Kluyveromyces lactis: one gene and its partners. The protein of the gene in region 2 purifies or fractionates together with the protein of the main gene of each other region. This does not show direct contact. Links are inferred from orthologs where the notes say so. Each region holds a gene or a part of one and is shown on either strand. Other genes may lie near its edges.

What was found.
Region 1: the proteins of MRPS9 (region 2) and AIM23 purify together in Saccharomyces cerevisiae (affinity purification with mass spectrometry; 3 studies listed by BioGRID). This does not show direct contact. The link is inferred for Kluyveromyces lactis from reciprocal best matches to the Saccharomyces cerevisiae genes MRPS9 and AIM23.
Region 3: the proteins of MRPS9 (region 2) and EHD3 purify together in Saccharomyces cerevisiae (affinity purification with mass spectrometry; 4 studies listed by BioGRID). This does not show direct contact. The link is inferred for Kluyveromyces lactis from reciprocal best matches to the Saccharomyces cerevisiae genes MRPS9 and EHD3.

The regions. Positions count from the first base shown.
Region 1 is NC_006041.1:1,376,846-1,379,782, reverse strand, and holds AIM23 (Aim23p), read right to left. Parts: upstream 1,685-2,937; coding exon 641-1,684; downstream 1-640. Other genes in the region: KLLA0_E15401g (uncharacterized protein), read left to right, coding at 1-535; URA2 (bifunctional carbamoylphosphate synthetase/aspartate transcarbamylase), read right to left, coding at 2,356-2,937.
Region 2 is NC_006042.1:1,963,584-1,966,163, forward strand, and holds MRPS9 (mitochondrial 37S ribosomal protein uS9m), read left to right. Parts: upstream 1-1,046; coding exon 1,047-1,940; downstream 1,941-2,580. Other genes in the region: KLLA0_F21010g (zinc-dependent alcohol dehydrogenase), read left to right, coding at 1-420; MHF1 (Mhf1p), read right to left, coding at 2,040-2,357. UniProt on the Saccharomyces cerevisiae protein: Component of the mitochondrial ribosome (mitoribosome), a dedicated translation machinery responsible for the synthesis of mitochondrial genome-encoded proteins, including at least some of the essential transmembrane subunits of the mitochondrial respiratory chain.
Region 3 is NC_006042.1:1,715,339-1,719,016, reverse strand, and holds EHD3 (mitochondrial 37S ribosomal protein mS47), read right to left. Parts: upstream 2,128-3,678; coding exon 613-2,127; downstream 1-612. Other genes in the region: ubiquitin-specific protease UBP14, read right to left, coding at 1-279; KLLA0_F18656g (sphingolipid delta(4)-desaturase family protein), read left to right, coding at 3,275-3,678.

The DNA of each region.
Region 1 (2,937 bases), on a different chromosome or scaffold from region 2:
GGGGGATATTATAGCATCCTCTGAACATGGATTCTTTGGTGCAGAAATGCACGTATGGACTCATGATCAAGTAGATTATATTGCAATATCACAGTTGCTCTTCAATAAGGTCTACATATTCAAAGATGCTGGCAACTCTGCACTAGAGGTCTGGTTAATATTGGAACTTGACACATTAGTTGACCTTAACACTGTCAAGTCCTCTATTGAGTTTGGTAAGGGTGTTCACTTCTCACACTCCCGGAAAAGGCTATTTCTTTCTTCTCCGGGCAGTTTTAATGGCGCTGGTGCTATCTGGAGTGTCTCTATGTCAGAAATGAAGAGAACAGTTGAACTTTGGAGATCCAAACATTTGCTCATAACCGCTTTAAAACACCTTGAATTCGTTAACCCCGAGCAAAAGAAAAAGGGTTGGTCTAATTTCGGCTCCAATTTGGCTGAGTCCCCATTAGATGACTTATTAGTTTCCATTCCACAATTTGGCTACGGTGACTTACATGACCTTTCGCTAATCGGAGCATTATTGATTCATTAGAATACATCACAATTACGTGAAATTTTTCGATATATGTACGCTAATTATCAATATTTACAAGATACATATGCCATTATAACGTCTATCGTCCGAGATATTTCCTGGTTATTCGGTGGAATCGCTGGTTTTTTTCTTCTCAATTCTGCGTTGCAGCTTTTCCTGCCTTTCCCGTTTCCGTTGCTCCTTGAGAGCTTTTTTATCAACTCCATTATTAGTATTTACAAGATTTGGAGTTACTTTCATAATTATTCTTTGATTGATCAAACCTTCTTGTGTAATCTGTGATGAATATTCGCTGATTATTTCGTTTAGCTTCTCCAAAACCTCTTCCCTTCTTTTCATTTCCTTTTTAGAAATAGAAGATTCCTGCATCGCTTCTAATTCCTCCTCATCTATAGGTGACAAGTTAGAAGAGTCTTTATCATTAATGAAAAGAGCAATCTTGCTACCTTTTTCCAAATTAGAAACAATTTCACTACATTTCTGTTTTTTCAAATCATAATCCGATATTTGCCATGAAACCTTGATTGATTTCCAAGATGAATCCGCTTTCGAGTCTGGAGAGCGACGGCCAGTTTTCTTTATATTGACACCCAATTTTATAAGTTCTTCTTCTTTAATTTTAGATAGTTTGTCGGAATAATTCTTTAATGCCTGTCTTGTTGGCACTTCTTTGACAATGGGTAGACGAACATCTCCGGACGCAGCATTATCGATACTCACCATAGCTATCCCATTTATCTCAAGGTTAACGCCCTTCAAAAAGTTCCTAATATTGGCTTCTTCTAGCTTGCTAGTTTCTGGATTGATTGCCTTGATGTTACCCTTTGAATTTATTGCTAGTATTTCCTCTAGCACCGAGTTGGCAGCTGCCTGCTGTTTCTCTGTTCCACTATTCCATCTGAAAACAAGTTTTTTATTCCGTTGATCTTTATTACCGTTTCTATGGCGGTGTTTATCACGATTTTTATGTGGAGAATTGTTACCGCTCTTTCGATGTGTCGCTGGATTGTATGTTGGTAGGTTAAAAAGAAGATCCGATACAGCCCTTGATTCGTTCTGGAGAACCCGATTATTGCAAAATAAACGTATTGAAGAAATGCTGTATTTAAAAGTAGTTCTGAGCATCTGTATATAGTGGTACTTCATTTATTTCAGCCCAACGTACCACATTTCAAGGCAATTCTATCATCGGAGATGACTTGAACTTAATCAAATCAAAAAAATACAACTGTCTTTCATATTAAGATTTTGAGATATTCTGACAGAGAAGGGAAAGCGTTGATATCTGTCACGTGATCATTTTTACTAATATGTTGCTGGTTTTGCCTAGAGACTGACAGCTGAATAGGTTCAAACAAAAGAGAACAATAGAATGAAAATAAAGTCGATGCGAAATATTAATGTATTAAACGATGCAGATGTGAATGTAAGGATAAACCTTTGAACTATATATGTACGACAAAATGATATATATGTCAAAATATACTAATTGTATCTGAAATTTTGAGCATTTCAAAGAATAGAAAGTGCAATAGATAAAAGTCACTTTGTAATTTTAAGGAAGTTATTTTCCTACTATGAAAGTCCTTGTATTACTATGGTACAGATGAAGGTAGTTTAGTCATATTTCATCAGTTTTCTTCCTCCGATTAAATATCTCTTTTCAAGTCCCCACAAAAAAAGAGTTTTCTTAGTTTAAGGAATTCCTTCTGATGAATTTAAAGTAAAATGAACGATTTACTTCCATGTTTAAATTATTTTGTTTGATTTTGGATTGATTCTGAAAAAAGTTCCGAACGCGAATCTGTTTAGCTCCTTTATAATTCAACACCCATAACCATGGCTAACAATGCCATTCTGACAAACAAACCATATCTCATTTGTCTGAAGTAAGCTGCACGATGATCGTAGTCAACCTCTTCACGAATCTCATTAACACGAGGTAGTGGGTGCATGACCACCATCTGTTGTTTAGCATGAGACAAGATCTTATTGTCAACAATGTAAGTGTCCTTGAGCTTCAAGTAATCTTCCTCGGTTTCGAACCTTTCTTGTTGCACTCTTGTACAGTACAACACATCGGATTTGGAAATGATTTCAGGTGTTAGTGTTTCACTTTCAATACCTAATAAGCCAGAATCTTGCAATTCTTTACGCAAGGCATTAGGCAACCTCAATTCCTTAGGAGCGATCAAGTTAATTCTAACTTGGTAATGTTGTAGCAAACGACACAAGGAGTGAACTGGTCTACCGAACTTCAAGTCACCCATAAAGGTAACAGTGATACCGTTGACAGTACCCAATTCTTCACGAATAGTGAATAGATCCAAGAAGGCTTGAGTTGGATGTTCACGAGAACCGTTACCACCGTTGATGATAGGAACAGGTGAGTACTTGGC
Region 2 (2,580 bases):
TTGTTCAAGGACTTGGGTGGTGAATACTTCATTGATTTCACCAAGTCCAAGAACATCCCAGAAGAAGTCATCGAAGCTACCAAGGGTGGTGCTCACGGTGTCATCAACGTCTCTGTCTCCGAATTCGCTATCGAACAATCTACCAACTACGTCAGATCTAACGGTACCGTCGTATTGGTCGGTCTACCAAGAGACGCCAAGTGTAAGTCCGATGTCTTTAACCAAGTTGTGAAGTCCATCTCCATTGTCGGTTCTTACGTCGGTAACAGAGCTGACACCAGAGAAGCCATTGACTTCTTCTCCAGAGGTCTAGTCAAGGCTCCAATCCACGTCGTTGGTTTGTCCGAACTACCATCCATCTACGAAAAGATGGAAAAGGGTGCTATCGTCGGTAGATACGTCGTCGACACTTCAAAATAATGAAATCTCTTCCGCATTCAAGTCATGACTTTTTTCACCTTTTATATGTTTCCCTCCTCTCTCCGTTTATATAAAACATATCTGATCATTACTTCCCACTTATTCCGCCTGGTGTAGTGCTACTAGATCAATCCAACTTTATAATAAATCATTTTATAGACCTTCAAAATGAGACACGATATAATACTTTAATTCTTTAGCTCTTTTATAATAATTCTTACCACCCAAAAAAAAGGGAACTAATAACACCATTATACCATTACAGTACACATTGCGACCATCACCCTTAAGGTGAATACATCTGACCCCTAAAACAACTGGTACGTTCCAACTAGCTGACCTCTTAAGTACATCGACAATGTTCGCTTCGACCATCACACTGTACGAGTTGAAGTTCCATGTCTAACTCTGTATACATTGTCACTGGGAGCGAGCCAGACACGGATCTGCATTTCTAGATTGAAAAACTGAGAAAGTGAAAAATTTGGAAAGCTCAACCAGAGGTAGAGATAGAGATAGAGACAGACATAAATTAAGCTGAGCAGTCTTTATCTTAGTCGCCTGAGGTCTTTCGTGAGCAGTTTCCACAGGGATAGAAGGGGAGACTAAAACCAAAGATCAGAAAAATGTTCTCACGTTTAACTGGTGTCTCTTTGAGACAGGGTCTTACGGTACAGAAAAGACTATTCTCTTATGCCAGGCCATTGTTTAACAGCTCGGGGTCTGAGAGGACCGGTTCTGGTTCAAGGCAGTACAATGATGGCGCCCGTGCTGGTGCAGAATATGGTTACACAGGGACTAGAATTGTGCCTAAGTTGTCTACTTTTTACTCCGCCAACCCACATCACGAAGCTCATATCGATAACTTAGAAGCGTTGTTGAGGAAATATATCAAATATCCTACCGTCCAAGTGGAAGAAAGGCCTTCCTGGTTGAGTTTGCAAGAGTACGCTCTAATAGGTGGTGGGTCCCGTTTGAAATCTACCCAGTATAAGCAGCTTTTGTTCATGTTGAACCGTTTGAATTCTATTGATCCACAGTTGGTTACCGATGAGATTTCGAACACTTTAGCGAAATACCATAAGAAGACGAAGTTGCAACCTCAAAGAGATACTTTGAAGCAATTAGACGAGTTTGGTAGAAGTTTGGCCATCGGAAGAAGAAAGACCTCTACTGCCAAGGTATATGTGGTTCGTGGTGAAGGTAAGATCTTAGTTAACGACCGTCAATTAAACGATTACTTCGTTAAAATGAAGGACAGAGAATCCGTAATGTATCCATTAAAAGCCATTGACAGTGTTGGCAAATATAACGTCTTTGCAATGGTTTCCGGAGGTGGTATTACGGGGCAAGCCGATGCCTTGATGCATGCAATCGGTAAGGCATTGGTTGCTTTCAACCCACTATTGAAAACTAGATTGCATAGATCCGGTGTCTTGACAAGAGATTACAGACACGTCGAAAGAAAGAAGCCTGGTAAGAGAAAGGCAAGAAAGATGCCTACCTGGGTTAAGCGTTGATCTGATATTAGTCTCTGACCTTTCCATTAAAAAAAACACATGCTTGTTTCACAAGTCCTGTACATATATAGCAATTTTACATAATTTAACAAGCTCCTTTCACCTTTTACTCTGTCGTCCTACGTTAGCATCTCGTAGTTCCATTAGTCGTAGTTTCAAAAAATCTTGTAGATCCTTGTTCTTCCTTGTTCGTAGTAACATATCTTCAGACGTAACAACATTTCTGTTAGCATGTTGGGCAAAAGCTTCCAAATCACCACCAACCTCACATATCTGCTGGTAAACCAGTTCAGTAAGAGTGTTGACATATTTTGAATTGTATTTTACATCTTCTGGTAGTTCTCTTTTGATAATCGATTCCACATAGAACCACAGCTTCCCGCGTAACTGGGATCGTAATCTCTTCTCTTCATCCATATTTGATCAACTGAACGACGCTACCATGAATAGAGCCCACAGGACAATGCCAAGTCAGGAATTGCCAGCTCAAAACTCTAAACGAACTGCTCAATCGATTGTAATCTTGTATATCTTGCATATCTTGGATATCTCCGCATTCCCAATGCATATCAATTATATTCATGTTTTCAACAGTTTCCAGAATAGAGGCAATTTGCATATATATAACGAAGACAACAGA
Region 3 (3,678 bases), about 250 kb from region 2:
TTCCAATGGTGGCGTGCCAGCTTCTTCTCGCTCTTGTTTTGGTTTTAGAACCTTGAATACTCTGAGATACAGATCATGGGTAGAACCAGTCTCACTCAAAACAACCTCTTGATGTAGTTCCCAATGCTCTTCGGAGAAAGACTGAAAGCAGCGTAGACAGATGAATAATGAATGTTCACGACCCTCATCTTTATTCTTCATCGTTTCAAAACAATAAACACAGTCATCTGTATCAATGACCCTGGGTACATTGATATCAAGGATATCAGAACCAGACATCTTTAATTTGAAGGCAGATATGATGCGTTGTGGAGCTTTGTTCTTATATATTGATGTTCTATTTCTTGCACACTCATTTTAAAGGATCAAACTCCAGTAATTTCAAATTTTAAACCATGCCGTAATTATGGAAAATATAACAAAGAATTAGGTAGATGAACGAGTTTTAAAGTAGAACGCATCAATTAGAGCTGTATTTAACTTATGGCACCCTTATGTACTGCCGAAGAACAATGCCATTCTAAGAGAGGATAATGAAATTTATTGCGTGTAGGTTAATCGTAAGTGTATTTACAAGTGTTCGATGTACTATATAATCGAAATGTATAGTTTTTATAGTTTAGCAGAGGAAGTTTTCCATCTTAAGAAACCATCTGGGTTTGGAACACATTTTCTGTCAATAATAAAACCTACCAAGTAGTCTACGCCGGTCTTACTCTTCGTGGCGGGGTTCAATTGTTGGAAGAATTTGACAGCTTCCTTCTTAGTAACTGCAGTTTGTCTTCCATGGTTGTCAGCACCTGTGATATATTTCTCAACTAGAGTTTCGTTTGGTAATTGGTACTTGCTATGATGTGGGTATTCAGAGAAAGTAACTAAATTTGATGGGCGGATCAACGACACCGGGTTTGAGGAGTTTTGTGAGATTAGAACTGATATTTGGGCTAATTTCAAATCTTTGATCTTCCATTGGTATGGGGTCTTGTTCTTTTCTAGCAATTTATGACTAGTGGCCTCAGCAAATTCACATAGGTCCGGAGATTCTGACATTTTAGTAGCAGTGATCAAATCTTGGGTCAAGGCGGTTTGAATGTCAGTGAAGGAGTTTCTTTGGAAAAGTTCTTTTGCGATTTCCAAAGAAACAGGGGATTTGCTAGCTAGCATTTGCTTGGTCTTTGCAGCAAACTCCTGAGCTGTTTGTGATACTGTCTTTCCAGCAATGACCTCATCCAATTTGGAGTAGATTTGCTTCAAACTGTTACCGATATCGAAACACTGTTCAATGACGTTTAGTTCATCAGCAGTGTACTTGAACTTGTAGTCTCTTGGTAATGGTGCGTTGAATTCCTCAATAGCATGGTTGACAACATCGAAAATTTCATCATCACGGTTAGTCGATTGAGAAGTGGCTTCAGTCAAATGTAACTCAGCCAATCTTGCCTGTAAGTTGGAGATCTGATCATGTGGCACATAATGAGAAGCGACACCAGCCACGTAAGCATCGGCACCATTCAAAATGTCACCAGTCATGCACAAGTACTGAGCCAATTGTCCGTTGGAACCACCAACAGTGGTAAGCTTTGGAATAGAGAAAGTGGCACCGACATCTGGGAAGAATCCAATATCCATCTCAGGCATGGCCCAACGAGTATTTTCAGTAGCAATACGGAATGGAATATGAGTAGATAGACCGACACCACCACCCATGGTGATACCGTCCATGATAGAGATGACCGGCTTGTTCAGCGTAGCTAGAGCCAAGTTTAACGAGTATTCCTTGGTGAAAAATTCTCTAGCGTAATCAAAATTTCCTTCCTTAACCAACTTGGCTACTTGAGCTACATCGCCACCTGAACAGAAGGCCCTAGGACTAGCTGAAGAGTTCAAGATAACAACATTGTTAACGGTACTCTTGGCATATTCTTGCAATGTGGGCAAGATGGCACTGCACATCTCAACATCCAATGCGTTCAATTTCTTTGGTCTATCCAAAGTGACCACTCTGGCAGTGGAATCGACTCTAAACTTAACTTCAGACATAAATCTTAATTGATTAACAGCCAATCTGGTCTTCAAAACGTGTCTCAATGACTGTTGCTGTGCTCTACAATAGGAATGCCTCAACATTATGGAATGCTATGGTAAAAATGGGTATAATAGATGATGTTGATAACCCGCCAGGATATTATAAGACGCTGTAGATCTCGGTATATATAGATATATTTGGTCAAAGATATCAACGTAAGTTAAGTATGCAGCAATTAAAGGGAGACTGCTACCATTCTTCTGTTCTCGTCAAGTTCGTTCCACTCAATGTTCAGGTTCAAATTTGTTTCAGCAGATGGAGAATAGTGAGTGACCAAAAAAAAAAAGCTACTACGATTGTTGAACAATTTCAGTACCTAATGGATTGAGCAATTCTCCAACTTGAAAGGGGATAATAAGACAAGATAGCCAAACTGCGAAGCAATTTAAGGTCGGTAGCAAAGGGGGTACAGAACTTATGTACGCGTATAATTGCATTCATCCGGGGTGGAAGCAAATCCTGTATAAGATTGAACCATAATCTTGCAGCGGTTTGTCACATCGTTTGACATTTGAAATGATTTAGAGTATGTCAGGATTGGATCGAAATATATCAGTTTTGCATATTTAATGGTTAAACAGATATTGGTGGGGCCCTTGGTACCACCAACCCTGTGTCTGATGTTAGAACAGGGCGTTCCCTCTCTGTGTCTTTGTTTCACGTGACCGTACTTTTTCCCATTTCCCTTAAAGCGTAATGAAAAATTTCTTTCTATCGCTCGAGAGCACACGGAACAGCAACATCTCATCGCATGGTTTTTGTTCGTTTAAAGATATATTGTAATTCCAATTACAGATTTCTTTCTAAGTATAAACCACATTTCTTAGCAGGCTTTGCTTGCGTTTAGGTTTGTGTATGTGTTTGAATTTATCACATCATAAGATCAGTTCTTTTTCGGGATTTAAGGATTTTAGATTTTAAATTTTAAAAGCTTAAGTTCTTTTAAATAGTCACGCATAAACATAGGATTTATACCTGATCCAACTGGTGTGGTTACATTGAGAATATCAGTATCAAACTCAATAATAAGATTCTAGGCAGGCTTGGAATCAAGGATCAAGAACTGTATTTTTGTCAAGCGTGTTTCCGGTTCCTGTTTTTTTATCGGCATTGTTTTACTTTCAAGTTTTGATATAGCATCGGAATCGCTATCTTAACAAGAAGAGAGCTTCATTAAGACCCTTAGACATGACAATTGTTCATAGAGATTTGAAAGTCTCTGAGAAATTTGTCGACGTTCCAAGTGCAGATGAGGATTTTAAAGTTCTTGATAACTTCTACTGGTCCGCACATAAAGAACCCCATGCTATAAGAAGACATGCCATAATTAAGAAACATCCAGAAGTGCAGCGACTTATGGGCCACGAACCTTTGACTAAATGGATTATCATTGGTGTTGTGTCGCTTCAGTTATCGCTTTCCTATTACTTAAGAAATACCCATCCTTTTACTTGGAAATTTTTCATCATTGCATATGTCATCGGTGCTACCGCTAACCAGAATATCTTCTTGGCAATCCATGAATTGTCTCACAACCTAGCATTTAAGAAACCTGTCCACAACAAGTTGTTTGCCATTTTCACAAATACCCC